3 linked regions of the Oryzias latipes genome follow. The protein of the gene in region 1 interacts with the protein of each later gene in a pairwise test. Links are inferred from orthologs where the notes say so. Each region holds a gene or a part of one and is shown in the gene's direction. Other genes may lie near its edges. The genes, in order: polr2l, coil and rpap1.

Region 1 (7,147 bases):
ATATCTAACCCGGATTTAGAAGACAATCATTCTGTCTGTTTTTCATTAGAGAAGACTGCTCCTGACCAGACCACACCTCAAGTCCCTGTGTCCATGGAAGCCAAAACTAAGCCTGGGGCCCCAAAGCCCAAGGCAGCATCACAAGCAGAGAAAAAGGAACCGGCAGCAGTCCGCAAAGCCGAACCAACACCTGCAGTCCCTGAAGCAGAGAAACTCCCTGCCTCCCAGGATGGAGCGGCAGAGGCTGAATCAGCAGCAGCAGCAGCAGCAGGTGACGAGACGGCAGCCTCTGGCACAAACTGTCTGGAACACCTGACCCCCTTTCTGATTGGTGGTGCTGTCATTGCCGTGGGGGCCATCTTGCTGGGAGTACTGCTGGCTAGGAGAAACTAAAACTAAATGTTGAAATGAAGTTGGAGTATTTATTGGGCACTATTAGAGTCCAATATTCTGCGTGTTCTTCACGACTGGTTCACAGACTATTCAACTGCAAATGACCGATGGGGAGACGCTTTATTTTGTTTTGGCCTGCTATCACTGGTAGTGAATTCACCCACTCAAGTTTTGATCCAGACTGTGTATGGTACATATTAATATTTAGCATAAGCATGAAGTTGCCACTATACCACATGTGAAATGTAATTATCTTAAAAGAAAATGAAGAAAAAAACCTCACACTATACTGTTGAGCAAAAGAGGCCTAATGTGGCTTTATCAGCTTTTACTGCTTTATCATGTTTAACTTGGACTCATGGTTGCAACATTTTTGGTTTATTTTTGTAAAGATTATGAATACTGTATTCGTTTGTTTCTCAATGTTTCTAGTCTGTACAGGCTCTGGGATTTTTTTATATATATTTTTTTTTTTCAGGAGGAAACAGAAATCATTCTGCAGAGATGGCAGAAGAAAAGGCAGGGTTGTGCACAGTGATTTAGTAAGGCACATATTTAACTTTGAAAAATGTCTACCCTTTTACACAACTTACTAATCTATAAGCAGACTTTATGACAAACATCTGGTATGGAAAAACTGGCCTATCTCTGTTTGGAACTGTTTGCTTTTAAAGTATTTTAGTATTATTTTTGATTACTTTTTGGACAAGTCGGTTCTGTCACAGACACCAATATCAGTGAACATAGTTAGGCTGTTTGTGAGCTATAATGTGCACCACGCCTGAACCAAATTATCTAGTTCAGTTACAGTTTAGACTTCTGAATGCAGTTTAGAAGAGACTGAATTTCATAAAAGGTTAAACAAAAAAGAAACATTTGTACATTAAAATCAATATACTATTTTTTTTAAGACAAAACATAGAAGCATGCAGCATTTTAGGGATAGTATTTAATTGTTGGACTATTATTGTACACTTTGGGGGAAAAAAAGTTAAATTGTATTTTGAAGGAGACAAAAATAAGAGATGAAAAGCTCTACTGTAAAATGCTAAGAGGAATCATTAACATTTCATGCCATGCAAAATACAATCAGCCATCTCAGATCTGTCTGTTTACATTGTTGCTTAAGAGCCATTAGTGTTGCAGTATCAAGTTGCCAAAACATGTCTACTGGTTGTCTATCCCATGCAGTCTTATTGCCCGAAATATCACCTGTACAGCTCCACAAGCATGTCTGTTTAGCTTGAATTATAAAATTTGAGTTTCTGCTTTCATGAAAACAGGAAGAAGGAAGGCAGTGGTAACAAACACACACATAATTTAAGTTGTAGAGGAACTTCGATATTGCGCTCAGTTCTGACAGAAAATTATCATAAAACACTCACCACAGCCACCCCTTCCAACCCCTACCATGTCCAAGAAGATAGTAGCACCAAAGTAAATTTCACCTTACATTGTACAATATAGTGTACCAAAAAAAGAAAAGGAAAAATTCTTATTTTCATAATTTTAACAGCGTATAAATGCAATAATTCAGGTAGGACTATTCATTTAGCACATGTGCTGTAGCAAGTTAAATTGCATAGATGATGTAATAATGTTTGGTGTTGACGATGGCGATGTTGGTGACAATACATGATGCCAATGATGATGATAGTTATCATTGTGTCTGTTAGAATGATACGAAGGATATTTTATTATTCTATATTTTAACTGATTTTCATAATGCAGCCCGGCTTTTGTCCCCAAATGTCTAAATGTAAAAAAGGAAGAGTTTAAACTTCAGCCTCAATAAAAGAAGTGAACCAGTCTGAATTATTTTTTTAAATGCACAAGAATTATCAAAGCAATTATATTAGTAGAAATGTGAGTTTCAGTTAAATTTATGATCTTGTAAGTTCTACCCTGTGACAGACTGGCGACCTGTCCACAAGTGGTCGAGATAGGCTCCGGCAGCCCCGTGACCCCGAAAGGGAAAAACGGTTAAGAAAATGAATGAATGAATGAATCTTGTAAGTTCAAGAGAGTTTTAACATGGACTGCCAACAAATATAAAAAAGGAATTGGGTACCGGTACTTTTGAATACTGGTATGTTGAGAAATCTAGATGAGACTAAGGCTTAGATCAGATTTACATTTGATTTATGTTCACAACTTTTTTTTTCTGCAAATGAAAATAAGGAAAGACAGTTAAAGATTAGTTAATAAACAGCAACAGTTTCACAGAAAGTATTGGCTAATAAGCTATCCAAATGAAAATATTTAAACTTGAAAATGAAAGCTGTAGATCTACAGTCAAGATTAGAAAAAGAGGATTTTTTTGGGATTTGCATTTTATGCCAATTCCCAAATAAGGATTTTTTATTTTATTTTACTCACATGACTGTGGCAACATTAGAATGTTTTCTAAATTATTGCAGAGAAATCCTCAAATAACAAAAAGTAATATTTGCATATAGACAAATGTTGGTGAATACATATACCATATAAATGTAGTTGTTTCCTTATCATAGAACATGAATGTGTAGGTGATTTAAATTAAAGCATTTAATCATTGGACACATATGTCGTCTGGGATTAACTGGTATTATTACAGACCCACCCAGAGAGATGTGATTTTATTTTGGTTTGAGGAACAGATTTCTCAATATTTGAGGGCCGATGCAGGTTGTATTTAGACAATGTGCTACCTTCTTTAAAAAAAAAAAAATATATATATATATATATATATATATATATATATATATATATATATATATATATATATATATATATATATATAGTAAAAATGCAAATCGTACGCGTCAGTTTTTGTAACAAATACTTTTACGCGATAAAATAATTTTTTTGTTAAATCCTAAAGTTGTGTTTTACATACAGAAAATGAACACACAGCAGTTAAACTCAACAGCATTGTTTACCTAAATTTAGTGGTTTATTTAAATTAGTTTTATTTTGTAGGATCACATCCGGAAGCTCTGTATTACACCGGAAATGGTTATTTGAGCTGTGATGTTTATATCGTCAACGGTTAAACTTTGTCTCTACTATTATTACAAATAACGCTGTTTAAGTGTTGGACAAACTTGACCAATAAAGGTGAGTTAACAACTTCCTTTTTTAACGTAATGTTACTAATATTTTTATTTCATTTGTACCCGAGTTTGGGAAGCATGTGAACGACGGCGTGCTGCTAGGCTAGCTGCATGTACGCGGCTAGCGTTGGCCTTTCTTTTTGTTTTTTAAATCTCAGTAATTTAAACACAAGTTACTTAATTATATTATATCGTTTACAGAAATTGTAGCGCAAGATATTTGCGTTCATTTTAGTTACGACGTTCCTAAACAACGTGTTGGTACCTTCCTTTAGAAGTATTTGCTAGCATCATAAGCGGAATTATGTTGTAGGAACATGTGTAACATAATTACCCTTTCTCAGATATGACCATATTCATATTGGCATGTTTTTGTTTATTTAATTTTTTTTTATTATTGATTTGATTGTTGATTATATTATTTATTGTGGATTGAATATCTTAGTTTGGCTCCTTCTTCAAGCATCCAGAAATGATTATCCCGGTGAGGTGTTTCACTTGTGGGAAGATCGTGGGGAACAAATGGGAAGCCTACCTTGGTCTTCTTCAGGCCGAATACACTGAAGGGTGAGACAGATGCGCTTCATTTTCATTTTACCTTCATGTTTCGTTCGTTCAACAATGTGTCACCGTAATGCTATATGGTCAAGTTTTCTGAAACTAAATAAAGGCCTTCATTCAACCTCTACTCCTCCTGTTTCACTGTCAGTCAAGATGTTAGTTTGAATTCAGACCATTTGAGGATACAACATTTAAAACTAACTATAGAAATGTTTTTTTTTTTTTTTTCTGTAATTATGCAAGCAATATCTGGCACTAAAATTACTTTTCCATCTTCCCTTTTCTAGTGATGCTCTTGATGCCCTGGGCCTGAAGAGGTACTGCTGTCGGAGGATGCTGCTTTCCCATGTGGATCTTATTGAGAAATTGTTAAATTATGCACCGCTGGAAAAATTTTAGCTGGAAGAACATGCTTTGAACATGGCCTGTGCATATATTCAGTGTTTAAGAAATGTCAACAATAATGACTTGGTGTATTGTGCACATATGTGGCAATGAAAATTTTATTTAAATAAAGTTTTTTCTTTAAAGTATTCGATTCACTGAGTTGAGATGCCATCTAATTTTTGAGGCGTTGAGTTAAATCGCTCAACCTTTCACTTTATGTACTTATGAAAACATGCAAACAAATAATGTTATACTATTCAACAGCAGAGCACATAAGACGAGAATACTTTGGGATTTTTTTTAATTGTAGATTTTCTACCAAAAGAAATGTGAAATTACAATGATTACAGAAAGAATTGTTATGGTGCATGCAAACAAAGTCTTATTTTACAAGAAAAAATCTACAGCCAATTTTTGTTAAAACAAGTCCTATTATATAAAGGAAGAACAAAACCGTGTTCTCAGATTGAACAAACAATCCTTGATTCTTTTATATACAACTCGACGCAACAATGCTCCTCTGCCTCCAATCTGGGGAAGCAAGAACAAAACATCGTCATGGCGGTTGGAACTTTAACTCTTGAAGAGTTATAGTGAATGTGCAGAAGGTTTTCAGCAAATTACAATGCCACTTTGTTACCAACAATTAAAATGTTTACAACAATTTATTTATAATAGAGCATTTGGAAAAAGCAAACTCTCATAATGCCCTTTCAAGTTTTAAATTGGTCCAAAGCAAATTACAGATTTTTTTTAACAATCACACAGCACAACTGCTGTTGAGATGTGTAACTAAGATTCAGTTGTGATAAATAAAGCCATTTCAAACAGCAAAAAGAGCAGAATTCAGACAGTGGATTTGTTTTGATTAAATTATATAGAAAAAAGAATGTGGCTGGTGAATTGGCCTCCTGATTTTTTTTATAAATTACGCTCATAAAAGCGTGACTTAAAATAACTTGAAATCTCCCCTCTGCATTTTTCTGGTCACAATTGAAATAGCTGTATTGAAAAAAACTCTGGGTTTAAATAAATATTAATCGATTTCAAACTGATTTTCATCTTTGAGAAGCTGTTGTTGATAAATGAAATCCATAAGTGCTGTTTGCTATAAAGCAGTTTTTTCAAAGACAAAAACAATTTAATGTTAGAATTATTTTAATAAAATTCCAACTTTTCTCATTTTATTCAAATTAAAGCAAAAATGGCCACGCATAAAAGCGTTATTTACATCACTAGTTATGTGGAACTAAGAATTTTCCAGTGAAACTTAAAAAAGAAGTGCAAAATTCATAAAGTAATGGCTTATGTATTTATTACCGTTCCCCGTTAGCGGTGTCGATCCCTTTGCTGTTCTCGAGACCACCTCTTGTCCCTTTCTTCACTCCAGGAACGCTCCCTGCGTCTCTGGGACATTCCCGCACTTTCCCCGCTATGGAAGTAATCTCTGTCGCGATCTCTGTGCCGCTCTCTGTCGCGCTCCCGTTCTCTATCCCGCTCCCTCTCTCTGTCACGACCTCTTTCTTTTTCTCTAGAATGACTACTTCTTCTAGAGGGAAAAACCATTGAAATGGGAATAAAACTCATTAAACAGCAAATGTGTTATTAAATGGTTAGTTTCAAGTGAGTCAAAAGCATTCAAATGAAGAAATGTACACACCTGTAGCCATAATCCCCCTGAATGGAGACCAAACAGTCTTTAAGGGAGGTGACCAGGGCTTCACAGCGTTCATTTCCGTACACTCTGGACTGCTTAATAACTGCAATGGCGGTTAACAGTGTTTCCATGGCCATTTGTAGATCTCCTGGAGTAGCAATTGGACAGAAAACACATAGAAGAAAACTAATTTTAAGTAACATTAAGCTCGAAGTGGGCAAAATTCTTTAAAGATCCTGTCAAGAGATAGATTTTTTTTTTCTATTTTGAATTTTTTAAGTTACAGAAAAGCACAATATTAACAATTTCACCAAACTTGACTGAACTGTGAGGCATGCAGTGTTAGCTTTTAAGAGGATCCAACTTCTTTTGAAGGCATGAGAAGTTGCAGAAACAAACTTTCATATTACTTCTTTCATTTTGTGCGATGCTCCTCCGCACTGACACCCAGCTGCCTAACATGTGTAAAGTAAAAACTATAGCAACAGAACCCAGCTACAGAAAGCTGAGGCAGATTGGTTATTAGAGCCAAAGAGTCAGACTGAGAGGGCTCATAAAGTTTGTGAGCCCACTAGCAAGACTATACATGTCTCAGAGATAAATCTCTTTGTTTTCTTGACCATGTCAGGGGAAACATTTTTTGTAAAAGTGAGATTTAAAGATGCTCTCCATCTAGCCTGGAAGAACAACAGATGATCTGCAGAGAGGCAATATACCACATCGTAATAAAAAAATTCAACATCAAAAAGCCTTATATCAATAATTTCCTTTATGTCAGCTCTCTGTTTTGGATTTACTAAACACTGCACTCTCAGCAAAAGCTAAAACAATATCATAAATATTTTATAGTGATATTCAGCTACTCAACAGTCTCTAGGAACTAACAGGTTAGAAACTGTGCATTCCGTTTTAATTTTTCCCCACGAGCGTTCTGTCTTGCACTTTACTTTAGAATTTCATAAGTTGAACTTACCAGCTGTGGCTCCAGACACAGCTTTTGTGATTGCAGTGCTGGCAATGGTTTGATTTCTGTTCATTAGCTCCTCGAAATCTC
Region 2 (8,163 bases), on another chromosome or scaffold:
CCCGGGTCCACCCTGAGAACGGCAGAGTTTGCTGTTAGACCTAAAAAAAACTTATCATTTCTTTCCAAATGTGCTGTTTCGTGTAGGAAAAACATGACCAAAAAAAGATGCGATTGCAGCAGATGGTGACCTCTGTGACCCCTCTGACCTCTGTGACCCCTGTGACCTCTGCTTTATGCTCTTTGTCCTTAATGGCTCAACAGAAAAGATGAATCTAAAGCTGCTGAAATGAATCTGCATCAAAACCAACCAGATTCACCAATCTGTGGACACATGAGACCAACTGTCAGGCACGGTGGTGGAGGGCTGATAATGTGGGCTTCTCTCAGGCCTCTTCTGCCCAGCAGATTTTTCCCGCAGCGTTCTACACTTCAACCGTAAAAACTGTCAGGGTTTGGTTTTAGATCTGAAATTTTCCGTTCACACAAAACAACAACAACTGTACAAAGTCGATGCTACATCATGAAAAGGTCGGCATCAAAGCGGGGAAAGGTCAAACTGAACTCGTTTTCATTTCTCAACCCCTCCCAGGCCTGACGGTGAAGGACAGCAGCGTCTCATGCCGACTTACACCCCCCTTCATGTCTGCTGAGGTTTCCACCAGAACCTCCATTCTGATTGGCTGCAGGATGCCCATTAAAAAGTGATAATGGACGCCTGAAAAAGTAGTTCCGGTCACACGGCCTAAATGTTGTGTATCCCTTCGCTGGTTTCTTCTAAAAACAACCTTTATCTTTCATACTATCATCTGGACTAAAAGGAGCGGTAAGAGGAGAACTTTCTCTCAAAGCTGATGCTTTATTTAACCTGCTCTAGAGCGAGGTCAGTAGCCGTTACCATGACAACGCATGGCATAGAGTCTGGTGGTTTATTTGGGTGAAAAAACAAAACAACAAGATACTAATAATTGAATTCCTATTTATCTTTTTCATTGGTGACTTTGGTATAAGCGGGATAATGCCTGACAGGGGGGTTGGTTATCAGAACCGTCGGACGGTTCTGCAGAGTCCACTCATTTCCCTTAGTTATACCATAGTCCACCTCCGCTGGACTTGTCCGTGTCGGTCCTCCTCCCTGAAGAGGGACGGAACCGTTTTGCTGAAGCAGCTCTATGAATCATTCACAGCAGAACGGACCGACTCCACTCAGGAACTCACTTCCTGGTTTTCTTCACAGACATTCATATTCTCTTTTTCTTATCCTTTTTTTAACCTCTTCTGTCTCCTCTGATGCTTTAGGGAGGAAAACGGAGGACATCAGGGGGATTTTTGACAGCTTCTCATTTTGAGGAAGTTGGAGATTTTGTGTCACTTAAATAAAAATAGGTTTTCCTGTAACGTGACTGAGTCATTCAGTCATCGGATCACCTTTTTAGGGTTTTTTTCGCCTTCCAGCAGAAGTCAGACTGCAGAACCTGGACAATAGATCCTCCATGGATTCTACTTTTCTCTATTTTAGTTCATGCACTTCCTTGTAGATTCAAAGTGCTGATGGAAATGTTTCCCTCCTCTCATCTTCATCACCAGCAGAACAGCTTCAGCCCACAGATCAAGACCCTTGAGCTCAGGTCATCTCTGCTCGTGTCAGCTTCAGACACGCACGCACACGCACGCACCTGCAGCCACATGACCAGCGGGAGCTCCCGGAACCCAGCGTCGGCGTGATAGAGCCACCAGAACATGTGGGCCCCGTCCCTCACCTCCACGTAGTTCCACGCCTCTTTGGGTGGCGGGGGCGCGCACAGCCCTGCGGACAGACAGGTGAGAAGCAAATACCCTGACGAGCATGCGCACACCGACAGAAACCGAGGTTACTTTCGTTTGACAGTCATCGGATTTACTGAAGCGAGGACAAGTCCAGAGATGAAAGGATCTGGAGGCGGGAGAAGAAGTGATGAAGAAGTTCTGCTCGACCCACGGAACTCACCATCACGGACGAGCACAGCGGACGCGCAGAGCCAGAAAAGCACCACGGAGCCGCACATTTTTGCTGCAAACTGGCGGAGAGGGACTTCACCGATGACGAGTCACGTGACCAAAAGTCACATGACCACGCCCAGGAGTCAGCTGATCGGCTGACTCCGATTTTTTGAGTTTTTTAAAAACAAGAAAACAGACAGAAAAAAAGAAGATCCTAAGTTTCTGAAACATCAAAATTTTAAAAGAATTTTTCTCATTGTGAGATTTTTTTTTTCATTCCAAAATTCCCCGAAGGTCACTGAGGTCACGGACCATGGTTTCCACGGCAACCATCTGCAGTCAGTTATCCATCACCTAGTGCTGTAAAGTGTCTCTGTCTGTCTACATTGTGCTAACAGTAAGGTTTGGTGGTGGGAGGATCATGGTGTGGGTTTATGTATAGTTTCAGAAGCTAGGCTTAAGGCTTGGCTCCTTACTTTCAGTGAAAATAACTCTTTGTGCTTCATCAATCCAAAACCCCTTGGACAATTCCACTATCACAAGAGTCTGAACAAAGGAGGGACCAAATGTTTTCAAACAGCATTTTAGAAATCTGCGCCTGATTTGCCACGATTGAATCCTGGTGATCCTCATGATGCCCTCCATCATGAGAGAAAGGCTAAAAGAACATGCTAAAAAAACAACAACACGATTTTATCCTGAGTGGGTCTTTGACCTGGATGAAGAATTATTGAGATCCAGGCCTCCTTGTCCAAACTCTGAACAGAACAGTTAAAAATCCTTGTAAATCTCCCTAAAGAGCCCCGTGAATTATTATGGGATGCTGTTTTAATTTTAAACGAGTGAAAAGGCAGATGGGATACACTCCGGACCGGCAGAGGGCAGTGTCGTGACAAAAGCAGCGCTTTATCCTCTGCGCATGCGCGGGGCGGCGTGTTGTCGCGGAGGGTGTCATGGCGGCGCTCGGAGACAGCTTGATCCGCCTGCGGCTGCTCTTTGACTACCCCCCTCCGGCCGTGGCGGGGTGCCGCATGTGCTGGCTGCTCGTGGACCGGAACGCGTGTCGCGTGGTGGCGGACCTGGAGGGTCTGATCCGGCAGAAGTTCGAGTTCAGCCGCGGGAGCGTCCTCAGCCTGTTCGTGGAGGACTGCTACCTTCCGCACACGGAGAGCATCTTCGTCGTGCGCGACAACGACAGCGTCAGGTGCGCGCGCATCCCACACACAGCGGGGTCCTGATGTGCCGGTGTCGTTTCCGAAACGGTTCGAGCCTGCAGGCTGACACCACAGATATCCGGACCTGAAGGACTTAAGGCCCAATCCGATCATTTTAGTCTGTTTTCAAAGTGTTCCCAGTGATCTTAATGTTTTTAGACAAATTATTTCAAAAAGTTCATCAGAAATTCACCTCTGACTTGTGGGCGGGACTGTGGCGCAGAAGTAACCCTCCACTGATGTCCCATCATCCCCTAGTTTACACTCTCTCCCACTAGCTTACAGCCCCAACCCAACGTTAGCGGTGCAACCAAAACAGCAGCAACATCAGATCCATCCGTCCGTCCAGTTCTGACCCAGATTCCAGCTCAGACCAGGAAAACAAAGACCTTCATGGATCTGTCGGTCTGCAGGTGGAGGATCAGAACCATTGACTGAATATGAGAACTGGACTGAGTGGCCCCGCCCCCTGGCATTCCAAACAGGAAGTGGCTCTCAGAAACTAAAATCCCACAGACTTGAGAAATAAACAGCTGTTAGTCATTCATTCTATTGGTCAGTAAAAACATTCTGGATCTGATACTTTTATTTAAACATGTTTTTGTTAATCCTCTTTTATTCATGATATATTTTTCTGTAAATCAAGTTCTAAACTGACCAATCAGATGCTTCAACAAAGGTAGGCGGAGCCTCCTTGCCACCCACATCAAATGGTCAAAACATTTGATTGACACGTTTTCCAGAGCCCGCTCTCAAGTGGAAGGGGTGTGGACCTCTAACAAGCTCACTCCTGATTGGTGATACTGGTTGCCATAGAAACATTGACTCGGACTGACCAATCACTGCTTCTTGATGTTGTCTGGCTCCAACATGGCGGTGTTCGTTTAGCAACAACAAGAATGGGGACTGCACTGACTTCATTTGGTTGGAGCTGGAAGTCGTTTTCAATGGATGACGTCACACTGGCTCGGTCCAATTCTAAAGAATCAGTCAATGGTTCTAATGGGCCTTGGTTGATCAAGATGCAGTTTGGGGAAATGTACACACAGACACCACGGAGGCCATTTTTCTATTACTGCCTGAGGCCTGTGCGGTCTGAGATGAAGCTCGAGCCTTTCTTCTTCCTCTGACTATGAACGCTCTCTTCAGCGTGGGTTTGGGGGGGGGGGTTTACATTGTAGAACGGGTCGGTTCTGGATGCGTTTCATGCAGAAATGTTTCTTGTTCTGCAGGGTGAATGTGGACTGTGTGGCTGCGCTGAACGGCTGCAGCAGCTGCGCAGACGCAGAAGGAGTCAAAAGCAAAAAGAGACGGAGAGACGGGGGGGAGGAGGGGCAGCTGGCTGAAAACAAGAAGAAGAAGAAGAAGAAGAAGAAGAAGAAACGAGAGGAGGGGGAGGCCGGAAGGAGCAAGCAGGAGACGGTTGACAGGAGGGAGGCGTCTCCGGGGAGGAGCAGCAAGAAGAAAAGGAAAAAGGAGGGGGAGAAAAGTAACACTGTTGCTCCTACACCTGCTGCCCCCCCCAGAAAAAACCCGCCCAGTGCCCCCCCATCAGCTGGAAGCAACAAGAAGAAGGCCCCAGCCAAAACGCAGAGTTCCTCCACAGAGTCCAGCAGCGAGGAAAGCAACTGCCCCAAAAGAACTGCCGCAAGGACGGCGCCCCCCACCCCTGCTGCTTCCAAAACGCCCCCAAACACCAAGCCCCCCCAGAAGAACACACGGCCTCCCTCTTCATCGTCCTCAGAAACAGACTCTGATGGAAGTACCCCCACCCCCAAATGCCCAGAAGCTCCGTCAGCGCTGAAACAGACAGATGTGGTCCAGGCAGCCCCCCCTCAGGACAAAGGGGCGGAGCCTGCTGATGCTGGGAGTGAGGAAGAGATCCAGCTGGTCATCCGACGGCCGCAGCAGCCTAACAGACACGCGGACGGCCTCTGGTCACGGCGCGGCGGCGGCAGGGGGGCGCGTGGAGGTGCTGGGGGGGCAGCAGGCCGGGGCCTCAGCGGTCAGAACAGTGACAAAGAGCCCCCCCTCCAGGCGCGTTCCCCGACCAACACGCCACCGCTCCTCCAGGTCAGTCCCCGCCCCTTTTCTCTTACGCTGCAGACGGAGGAAACGTCTGAATCTGGTGCTTGTGTGTCTGCAGAATGGAGCCGGGGGCCCCCCCACACGGGACTACAGCTCCATGCCCCTGCTGGCCGCTCCTGCACAGCCGGGGCAAAGGATCGCTTTCAAGGTGAGGTCCGTCCTCCAACGTCACAAACATCTGACTGCTGAGGGGCTCCGCTTGGATTTAGAAACATCCCAAACAAAAGTTTAAACCTCAAACGTCCAGAAATCTGACAACTGATGACAGAATTTACCAGAGTGGAGAACAGCAGCTCCAGCTTCAGCTGCTCCAGCTTCAGCTGCTCCAGCTTCTGCTGCTCCAGCTGCTGCTGCTCCAGCTTCAGCTGCTCCAGCTGCTGCTGCTCCAGCTTCAGCTGCTCCAGCTGCTGCTGCTCCAGCTGCTGCTGCTCCAGCTTCAGCTGCTTAAGGTCTAGCTGCTCCAGCTTCAGCTGCTCCAGCTGCTGCTGCTCCAGCTTCAGCTGCTTAAGCTCTAGCTGCTCCAGCTGCTGCTGCTCCAGCTTCAGCTGCTCCAGCTGCTGCTGCTCCAGCTGCTGCTGCTCCAGCTTCAGCTGCTCCAGCTTCAGCTGCTCCAGCTGCTGCTGCTCCAGCTTCAGCTGCTTAAGCTCTAGCTGCTCCAGCTTCAGCTGCTCCAGCTGCTGCTGCTCCAGCTTCAGCTGCTTAAGCTCTAGCTGCTCCAGCTGCTGCTGCTCCAGCTTCAGCTGCTCCAGCTTCAGCTGCTCCAGCTTCTGCTGCTCCAGCTGCTGCTGCTCCAGCTTCAGCTGCTCCAGCTGCTGCTCCAGCTTCAGCTGCTCCAGCTGCTGCTGCTCCAGCTTCAGCTGCTCAAGCTTCAGCTGCTCCAGCTGCTGCTGCTCCAGCTTCAGCTGCTCAAGCTCTAGCTGCTCCAGCTGCTGCTGCTCCAGCTTCAGCTGCTTAAGCTCTAGCTGCTCCAGCTGCTGCTGCTCCAGCGTCAGCTGCTCCAGCTTCAGCTGCTCCAGCTGCTGCTGCTCCAGCTGCTGCTGCTCCAGCTTCAGCTGCTCCAGCTTCAGCTGCTCCAGCTTCTGCTGCTCCAGCTGCTGCTGCTCCAGCTTCAGCTGCTCCAGCTGCTGCTGCTCCAGCTTCAGCTGCCTCCAGCTTCAGCTGCTCCAGCTGCTGCTCCAGCTTCAGCTGCTCCAGCTGCTGCTGCTCCAGCTTCAGCTGCTCAAGCTTCAGCTGCTCCAGCTGCTGCTGCTCCAGCTTCAGCTGCTCAAGCTCTAGCTGCTCCAGCTTCAGCTGCTCAAGCTCTAGCTGCTCCAGCTTCAGCTGCTCCAGCTGCTGCTGCTTCAGCTGCTCCAGCTGCTGCTGCTCCAGCTTCTGCTGCTCCAGCTTCAGCTGCTCCAGCTGCTGCTGCTTCAGCTGCTCCAGCTGCTGCTGCTCCAGCTTCTGCTGCTCCAGCTTCTGCTGCTCCAGCTTCTGCTGCTCCAGCTGCTCCTGCTCCAGCTTCTGCTGCTCCAGCTTCAGCTGCCTCCAGTTTCAGCTGCTCCAGCTTCTGCTGCTCCAGCTTCTGCTGCTCCAGTTGCTGCTCCAGCTTAAGCTGCTCCAGCTGCTGCTCCAGCTTCAGCTGCTCCAGCTGCTGCTCCAGCTTCAGCTGCTCCAGCTGCTGCTGCTCCAGCTTCAGCTGCTCAAGCTTCAGCTGCTCCAGCTGCTGCTGCTCCAGCTTCTGCTGCTCCAGCTGCTGCTCCAGCTTCAGCTGCTCCAGCTGCTGCTGCTCCAGCTTCAGCTGCTCAAGCTCTAGCTGCTCCAGCTTCAGCTGCTCCAGCTGCTGCTGCTTCAGCTGCTCCAGCTGCTGCTGCTCCAGCTTCAGCTGCTCCAGCTGCTGCTGCTCCAGCTTCAGCTGCTCCAGCTGCTGCTGCTCCAGCTTCAGCTGCTCCAGCTGCTGCTGCTCCAGCTGCTGCTGCTCCAGCTTCAGCTGCTCCAGCTGCTGCTGCTCCAGCTGCTGCTGCTCCAGCTTCAGCTGCTCCAGCTGCTCCTGCCCCAGCTTCAGCTGCTCCAGCTTCAGCTGCTCCAGCTGCTGCTGCTCCAGCTTCTGCTGCTCCAGCTGCTGCTGCTCCAGCTGCTGCTGCTCCAGCTTCAGCTGCTCCAGCTGCTGCTGCTCCAGCTTCAGCTGCTCCAGCTTCAGCTGCTCCAGCTTCAGCTGCTCCAGCTGCTGCTGCTCCAGCTTCAGCTGCTCCAGCTGCTGCTGCTCCAGCTTCAGCTGCTCCAGCTGCTGCTGCTCCAGCTGCTGCTGCTCCAGCTTCTGCTGCTCAAGCTCTAGCTGCTCCAGCTTCAGCTGCTCCAGCTGCTGCTCCAGCTTCAGCTGCTCCAGCTTCAGCTGCTCCAGCTGCTGCTGCTCCAGCTTCTGCTGCTCCAGCTGCTGCTGCTCCAGCTTCAGCTGCTCCAGCTGCTGCTCCAGTTTCAGCTGCTCCAGCTTCTGCTGCTCCAGCTTCAAATAAAGAATCTTCTTTTTTAATCAATCATGAATAATGACAATATCTGCTCAGATACTGACCAATGTACTGTAACAATTATGTCATCATTCATTTAAATAGGGGTTAGAAGATATTCACTTTGTGCTGTACTTTAGCTCTTTTGAGCCTCCTGGTTTGCCGTAGCACAAACTGATGATGTTTGCTTCCATCCTGCACAGCTGCTGGAGCTGACGGAGAACTACACCCCCGAGGTGTCTGAGTATAAGGTCAGCGAGCATCCACCAAGACGGCCAGGTCTCTAACAGCTTTAAGCCTTTCTCCTAAACTGTGTGCGTTTGTGCGCCTTAGGAGGCAAAGATTGTGAGCTTTGACCCGACCACCAAACAGATTGAGCTTGAACTTCTTCACGCCTCCAAAGGTAAGGATCCTCTGGGCTGATCTGAGCAGATGCTCTGTCGATGTAAAGATTGCCTGCAC
Region 3 (8,063 bases), on another chromosome or scaffold:
TCATTTTAGCTGCTTTGAGATGCATTTGAAATCAAATCACTTTAATTTATGTGGCGCCTTAATATGATTGCAGTCAAACAAACATTAAAAAAGCAGTTAAAGGGTTAAAACAATTACAAAGTAAAGTAGTGCAAAATAAAAATATATAATATAGTAAAATAATGACAGACAAAAAGCAGAGGTTAAATAAAAAAATACCAGCAGACAACCATCAGTTTAGATTATTACCATAAGTGTTCCTTCATTTCTTTTAAGTCTCAATCTTTTAATATTAAAGCATATTAATATGCTTTAATATGCTTTTTCCCAGTGGTCTTTTAGTGATGTTTATGCCGTTTTTAGGCTAAATCTAAAATCCTGTGTTGTTTTCTAGGACAAAGTTTCTGCAGAGCGGCAATAGTTCATTGGAAATTGCCCTCTGAGTTGTGGGTGGGACTGTTGGCATTGAGTAAGCTCGCCCTTTGTTGCTGTTGATTTGATTAAAAAAAAACTCAGAAAAATACATTTAAGATTAATTTTCTTTATAATGACACAACGATGACACAATGATTAAAGACTCACTCTGGAAGAGTTGGATAAATGCATAATCTGGTGGAGGTGAAAGTTTAGTTTCTATTGAGGCCAGAACAGGTGGATCGAGTTTAAACTGACACACTAAAGACTTATGGCACCAAATCTTGAATATATACCTGTGCCATCAATGGAAGAACTTGGACTTGTATTATGCTCAGGAAGTCAGTTACTGTAGATTTGTTTTCCTTTTTTCTGAAAAATCACATTAAAGATGTGATTTAAGAAGCTAGTCTGGATCAGAACTTTGTTCCAACTCCCCCTTACCCGGGCCTCTGGGAAACATACACATTTATTCATAACATTTATAACAACAATCACTACAGATATAATTTAATTAACTCTAGGAACAGAACGTTCTTTAAAAGGGTTTATGCTGCATCAAATATTTAATATTAATAAACCATAAATATCTATTTATGTTTTTTTTCTTTGTTCTACCACAGATTTTCTCCTCTGACAAGTTTTTACATTTATTTTAAAGTTTCTTACTCCAGTTGCCTTTAAAAATGATAGTTGATTATTTAAATTGTTTTTATTTTAGTCATGCTTTGGGCAACTTTTAATCCAGCTGAAGCATTTTCGGATCTTAGATAAAGAACTTTACTCATGGCTTTTTATATTTGTGAACAATAGTATGATAAGGTCATAAACAAGTTGGCTGCTCAAACATATTAACTAAAATATGTTTTTCAAGAGGTTTTTGCTTTTTAAGATGAATTATTTACGTGAAATTCATCCATTTTTTGGTTCTGGTGCAGGTGGAGTCCAGAGATGAGGGGAAGTGGCACTTTAGTCAAATTTGCACAGTTAAAGCTTCATTTAAAGTAAAGTACAAAATATCAGACAGGAAACTTCATGTTCTCATTTGTTTTTCAGTTTTCATGTCAAATAGAATTAAATCTCCTATATGGTTATATTGGATTAAGTCTATACTTAAAATTATATACAATTCTGAACTTTCAAAGTGAAGATTACAAAGGTCCCTAAAGTTTCTGCAGGAAGGAAGTGGAAGCCCAAAGGAGGCGGAGCTACAGCTTCAGGCAGCATTGATGCACAGGTGCTGCATGAATGTGGCGGCTTTGGTTTCAGTCTGTCTCAGCAGTTGCAGAGCAGCTGTGGCTGATAGCAGAAGGCTGGTTGTTAATAAATCAAAGCTCAAGAGGAAGGTGCAACATGTGCAAAAGCAGTTTCTCTGATGACACGAGGAAGAGAAAGAAACGAAATGGGAGATGCAGGCAGGTAGAGATCCATCATGTTTATTGTGTTCAGGGAAAACTTCACCTCCACATATTCTCACAGATTGTAAATAGAAAAAAATGCAGCAATATGGGAAAAAAGCAGACGTTTGTTCATCAAAGAGATAAGTGCAGCACACTAGCAGGCTGTTGGGTAAACTATTCTAGATGAAAAACCGATATGTGAGAGTTGGATTTGGGAAGCCAGCTTATAGTTTTTTAGAATATTGCCTGCACAAACAAGACGAGATGAGAATTTTGTAGTCTGTACATTTCATAAAGCTCACAGTTCCCTGGGACAACTCTAGAAATGACCTACCACAGGAATAAACTTCAAGGCAGAGTCTGCTGCAGAAGCAGAGGAACACAAACGGAGAGCTGAGATTGGCTATAAAGTTTTTTTTGGAAAGTGAGTTTACGCTCTGCTCACAGAGCTGTGTGTTATCACTATGATTTGGTTGCCTTGCTATTCAAACCTGTGCTTATGAGGGGTGTAACGTTTCATTGATTCAACGATTTCTTTTCCTACAATCCAACCAGATCGATCTGTCTGAAGCAGATCGAAAAGACCTAAATCCTTATTGAATATATACAAAATGAGATAAATTAATTAAACGTTAGGTTTATTTAACAGTGATGAAAGTCTTCCGGGAATTCCCGGAAATCCGGGTTTTTGAGCAAACCGAACGTACTTTCCGGGAAATAAAGACCTGATCTCTACGGACAAATCGCTTTCCGGATTAAAAAATGGTCTGAAATCAGCTAATTTTAGCTTTATTTTCTATATTTCTCCGCAGATCGCTTCCTCTATGGTCGTGGCCATCTCTCGTCTTCCGGGCCTAATTGACCAATGACGGGACGTTTTAGTTGCTTTCGGATGCGTCGATGGGTCTGATTGGCTCTGTCTGCACCACGTGGTCAGCGTGACTTGCTTCCCTAGAGACCAAAACTGGCGGACCCACGCTAAACTTTCACAAACACATCTGAAGAGTTTGCGATCAAATTTGTGTTAAAATAATGGCAGGCATCGTCATTATTGAGCCTGGTCACGACCTCAGTTGTGAGAAGACGATAAAAAACAAATTGAAGTGGTCTTGGCTGGAAAAAAAAGATTTTTAAGGTAGTGTAGGTCAAATACTTCTTTGTGTAAAATAATCTCAAAACCACATTTTGAAATAATTTCAACTTTAGTTTTGAGTTTCAGTTTTTATTTTGAATACATTTCTTTATCTAATTTATTTGTATTTCCTAATTACCATGATTTAGTTCAGTATAGTTAACATTAATTATAAGTATTTGATGGTTTGGACCCGCACTCCCTTAAAAAATAATGTTTACAATATTTAGTTTATTTTTTATGTTTGTTTTGATATTTCCCAGATTACTTAGTATTGGTGTTAAAGAATTGATGTATTATGTTATAGAATTATAGTTTAAAGCAGATCCCATATTTTGATGTAATTATAGTTTGAGAAAACAGTGCAAGTGGATGTTGTACATCAGTCATTTCTAAAGCAGAAATAATGTATAAATAACTGAGGTATTTTCATAGAATATCATAGTTACTGGTGTTCTTTTTGCCATTTGGGGCTTTGATGTTACTATATTTTAGCAATTGTATGTTTTGCAGCTTTAAGGAAAAGCATAGATTGTAGGATTGTGTTACTTTGAGCAATTTTCCAAATTCTTTTTTGGGACCAGCAAGTCCTTAATGGAGAGTCAAACTAGGGGTTTGAATGACAAATCATGATGCTCCAATTAGTCTTAGTTTCTTGATAAAGAAGTGAATAACTAGCTGCCAGAATGCACCAGAATGCATCTAAGACCACGTATTTTTCCAAAATTTCGCTCTGTGCCCGCCATATCGCTCAAAGAAAAGTTCAGGGATTTTTTCCTTACCTGACTTTCATCACTGTTTAACTATAACATAAAAACGACCAAGTGCATCACAGTAGACAGCACACACGTGACGGCAGGAAAAAATGATCAAGTCATTGATTTTAACAAAGACATGTGGCCACACGGTGTGCTAGAATGTTCTAATAATGTTCCCTTTGGACCATTTGGATGTGGAAGACCAACAGTGGGATGAACTTTAGAAAACTTAGATGTGAATGAATTTAACAGTGATTATTGTGTACTTATCTGTTTTTACACGTATTTAATTTACACATGATTATCTTGCAAGGAATGTGTAAAACCTCCCCTGCACTGTTCAGGACCCAGGTATTTATCTCTGAGTCACACTGGTTGAATTTTTGGCTAAAATTTCCTGGATCGATGTTTGCTGTTTGATTAGCAGCTTATCAGAAGTCTAGACAAATGTGTGACGGCGAGGCCAATCGATGGGTCGAAAGGTTATTCCAAATATTCGAATGACATAACGGACTATTTGTTGCTGCCACATTCACTTTTGTATTTCTCAAAGAGTTTTTAACTCTGTTTCCTAGTTGAACTCTCTGGGTGTGAAGGAGCGTTTGTCGCGTCTGCTGGGCGCTGAGCCCAGCGAGCTGCTGCTGGAACCGTCCGAGGCTCTCAGGGTCACCACTGAGGCCTACAGGTTCTGGGCGGTGGCAGCCGGTTATGGACAGGCATGCCAACTATACATGTAGGTGAAGCACTGAAGGTTACACTGTATACCAAAGAAAACACCTTAAAAGTAGTTTTGTGGTTAATGTTCTGTTAAATCACCTGTGATTTCACATTTGTTTTTTCTTGAAGAGACTTGTACTCTGCTTTACTGAAGTCACTCCAGTCTGGGCATCGCTTAGCGCCGCCCTCACACGCTCTCCAGCCTCTGCAGCTGCAGCGGCTCTCGGCTTTGCTTTCTCTGCTCACACAGGTCACACACGCAGCCGGCTGCCATCAGGAGTTGCAGGCTGGCGTCCTCAGGTACCTGCAGGATGATGACTCTGTTCTGGTTTGAAGCCTTCGTCTACATGAGGCTTTGTCTGTGTTCATCGCAGCGCTCAGGGGGAGGAGTGCCCTCCTCCGCCTCCTGTTTCCTGGGGTCACGTCTCGGGCTTGCAGGCATCCCTGTTGGGGCATCTGAAGGGTCTTGTCAAAAGCCTTGATAGTCCAGTTCAGGCAGATAGCAGCTTGACCCTGATACCAGCTTATCTGGTCTATCTCCAAGCGTACTACCAACAGCTCTCCAGACAGGTACTCCGTTCTGTCTTCTATCTGCAGAGCAATCGAGGTATTTCAAGTTTGAAGTAAAAACAAACAAATAATTTTATATTTTTCTTTTAATGCATATACAACAGACCTTTTTCAAACCAGTGGAGACTCTTCAGGAGCTGGAGCTTCTGACCTCCGATGTTCTTCTTCCACTTCTGTGTCACAGTGTTGTGCAAGGTCTGATGAACAACCTGAGGTACTTCTGATAACTCTGCTGCTCTTTTCTCTCAAAATGTACATTTTAAGGCTGTTTATTTTCATTTTCATCTTGTTTAGATCCTCTTCTTTGGTTTGCAACGTTCAGTCCCACCATCCGGGTCCAGAGACGACCTCGAATCTTCCAGGTTTAGCCTGCGCAGGATGGAAGGAACGTTCTGGGCTTGTTGTTCCCAGCTCCCCTTTTGCTCTTGTGATCGGATTGGGATCCCTCTTGGAAACAATCACAGGGATCCATAGAGGTCTCAGCAGCAAGGTGGAGTTTAACACATTATTATAACCCATTAATGTGGCATTACATTCAAAACATGTAGTGAAATTGTTACAAAGGTGTTGCCCTCTGGTGGTGAATAACAAAAACCTCTCATATCTGAGGTGTTGGGGTTGAGAGGACATTAGTTGTAGAATTCTTAAAACTTTAGCACTGCTTTTAAATAAATCATTTTATTAAATATTTTTTAAGTAATACAAAAATCTAATATTTTTCATATTTTATGAATAAATGAAAACAAGTAAAATGAATAAAAAATGAATTCCAGTTTTCTTTCTTTTTTTAAAGGGAGTTATCCATTATGTAAGCAAAGGGAAATCCTTTTTTACTATTTGTTAAATAATTTATTTCTTGGTAAGAATAGAGCAGTCTATGACAGTTTTTGTTTGTTGTACTTTGGATGACAGTCTCATAAAAAGTAGTAAAAAGTTGTTCTTTTTTTGTAAATGGTTACATTTTATATGAATTTTTTCATCTGTCCCTAAAGTTTTCTATTAAGGCCTATTTGGAGTGCTTTTCTTTAATCCTTAAATGCCTGAATTTCTTTCCTTCTTTCTAGTTCTCGAGCTTCCTCCTGTCAGAGCCTGTGATTGGTTACCTGCAGGCCTGCAGTAAGTCCACGCCCACTCTGTCTGTGTCCAGGGCTTGGCTCCTTCGTCACGAACACCTCCTCCTGTACCTGCTGCTGCGGATGGCTCACAGGCTGGTGGGTGTGGATCTACTTTGAGTTGTGGGGTAGATATTTGTCATTTTGAAAGAGCTGCATTGTTTCATTTTTCTTCCGTTTCCTTTTCTTTTTTAAACATTTCTCAGGTTCCTGTCGATGTAGAGGTGGCGAAACAGGCCTCACTTTATCACCAGGTGGCACTGGTGCTTCTTCCCTGGTTATTACCAGGCAGTGAATACTTGGCACATGAACTGCTGTCTACTGTTATATTCAACAAGGACTTTATATCGTAAGAAAAACTATTTCCTCTGGATAATTACACCTTTATTGTCTGATAGTTAGTCTAAGTTTTTGTTGTTTGTTTTTCTGTTAAGAGAGGGACACAGTGGAGGTCCAGAGGCTGTGGAGCTCGGGGAGCTAAAGCTTCACGACGACGTCAGACTCCACCCATCTCCATCTCTACAGACTGTTGGCGCTCTCCTCAGAGAAGCCTGCGTTCAGCTGCCGTCTATACGGGGCTGCTTCCTCACTCATCTCGCCTATCTGGAACCGTCTGTGATCGCGTCCCGAAAAGCCCTGCTTGGACGCAACCCGTGGATCAGTTCCCACCTCCTCCCGGAGGTCACGGGGCCCACCCTGCCATCTGACTGGCCGTTCCTCCCCCTCATCAAACTGTACGAGCAGACAGGAGTGTCTGGCGGCGGGGGGCTGGCTGTAGAGGAGCTTCCAGCGGGGGCTCTACAGGCGGCTGTCCACTGTTTGCAGTGGCTACTGCTGCTGGAGGTTTGGAGGGAGGAGTCCTTAAAGGTACAAAATCGAAGAATGCACTCATTTATTATCTGCCCTCAAGATTTACTGGTTTTTAATTCTTATTGAAAATATGAAAAGTCATTAGTCAAATTTGTCACCTTGTTTTAGCACACTGTCATTCAGTTTTAATGGGCCGTGCAAAATCCGTTTTTTTTAAATTTTAAGTTTATCATAATGTTCATTCCTCACAAAAAGAAACCCCAAAGGTGGTATTTTGATCCATGCACACATTTCTGACTATTCTTCTAAAATCCTGCGCTCTGAGCACCAGCCCCTCCCAACCCACAAAAACGAGCGGGTTCTCAGGAGCTGAGGTAGATGAATGAAAAACGGCGCTTTCCAGGAAGATTCTGCGCTGTACGCCCCGCCCCCAGGCTAACCCCCCCCCCCCACATTCTCCGCAGAGCTAGCTGTGATCAGCTAAAATGCCTTTATAAGGCTTCACAATATGCACATCCATCTTTGCAAAAGTCTGGCTGTTTGTTTTTGTGGGTGAAACACCCCCATAACTGCCAAGTGATGGGGGTGTGGACTTCCAACAAGCTCACTCCTGGTTGGCGAGAGTGGTTGCCATAGAAACGTTGACTCAGACCGACTCAGACAAATCCCACCTTGCTGACGTCGTCTGGGAAGAAGATGGCCACTGAATTGACGTCATTTAGCTTGAACCCAAAGTAAGCCATTTATATTAGGGTGAGTTTACACTCACTCGGTCCAGTTCTCTCAGACAGTCAGTGTTCAGAAAACCAGGTGTGGATGGGAAACGGAGATGGTTGACTTTTAATCTAAAATGTTTAGTAGAAACTACATCCTGTTACCTATCAGTTTAAAGAACTTTGTGGATCTTAAAGTGTGTGTTGAACACTTTAACACAAAAAGAATTATTTTTCAGCAGACTCCTGACTTTGAAAGGCTTTTCTCTGGAGGGAAGAAAAACTGCATCCACTGCTGCCTTGATTAAATTCTCTGATATCTTGACAATTCCAAGTGTTTACGTCTCTCCAGCTAGGCACACAGACACGTTTCAAAAAAGATGATGGGACAACTCATCCTGCTGTGTGCTATACTGCCCCCTTATGGCGTTCTCGGCTTACCACAGTCACCTGGCAGG

The links.
Region 2: the proteins of polr2l (region 1) and coil interact in binary tests that used the Homo sapiens proteins (3 or more experiments, as listed by UniProt). The two-hybrid records come from large-scale screens. The link is inferred for Oryzias latipes from reciprocal best matches to the Homo sapiens genes POLR2L and COIL.
Region 3: the proteins of polr2l (region 1) and rpap1 interact in binary tests that used the Homo sapiens proteins (3 or more experiments, as listed by UniProt). The link is inferred for Oryzias latipes from reciprocal best matches to the Homo sapiens genes POLR2L and RPAP1.

Annotation. Positions count from the first base shown.
Region 1 is NC_019861.2:18,858,693-18,865,839, reverse strand, and holds polr2l (DNA-directed RNA polymerases I, II, and III subunit RPABC5), read left to right. Parts: upstream 1-3,360; 5' UTR 3,361-3,492; intron 3,493-3,933; exon of another isoform or gene 3,934-3,951; 5' UTR 3,952-3,960; coding exon 3,961-4,055; intron 4,056-4,336; coding exon 4,337-4,448; 3' UTR 4,449-4,587; downstream 4,588-7,147. Other genes in the region: uncharacterized protein LOC101163646, read left to right, coding at 50-393; cpsf7 (cleavage and polyadenylation specificity factor subunit 7), read right to left, coding at 5,766-5,985, 6,097-6,241, 7,067-7,147. UniProt on the Homo sapiens protein: DNA-dependent RNA polymerase catalyzes the transcription of DNA into RNA using the four ribonucleoside triphosphates as substrates.
Region 2 is NC_019866.2:24,977,208-24,985,370, forward strand, and holds the start of coil (coilin), read left to right. Parts: upstream 1-2,732; 5' UTR 2,733-2,872; coding exon 2,873-3,123; intron 3,124-4,365; coding exon 4,366-5,206; intron 5,207-5,279; coding exon 5,280-5,369; intron 5,370-7,904; coding exon 7,905-7,952; intron 7,953-8,034; coding exon 8,035-8,104; intron 8,105-8,163. Other genes in the region: scpep1 (retinoid-inducible serine carboxypeptidase), read right to left, coding at 1-12, 1,616-1,746, 1,927-1,984. UniProt on the Homo sapiens protein: Component of nuclear coiled bodies, also known as Cajal bodies or CBs, which are involved in the modification and assembly of nucleoplasmic snRNPs.
Region 3 is NC_019880.2:11,593,128-11,601,190, forward strand, and holds part of rpap1 (RNA polymerase II-associated protein 1), read left to right. Parts: intron 1-4,258; coding exon 4,259-4,416; intron 4,417-4,529; coding exon 4,530-4,700; intron 4,701-4,774; coding exon 4,775-4,970; intron 4,971-5,074; coding exon 5,075-5,184; intron 5,185-5,264; coding exon 5,265-5,460; intron 5,461-6,034; coding exon 6,035-6,181; intron 6,182-6,288; coding exon 6,289-6,431; intron 6,432-6,516; coding exon 6,517-6,949; intron 6,950-8,063. UniProt on the Homo sapiens protein: Forms an interface between the RNA polymerase II enzyme and chaperone/scaffolding protein, suggesting that it is required to connect RNA polymerase II to regulators of protein complex formation.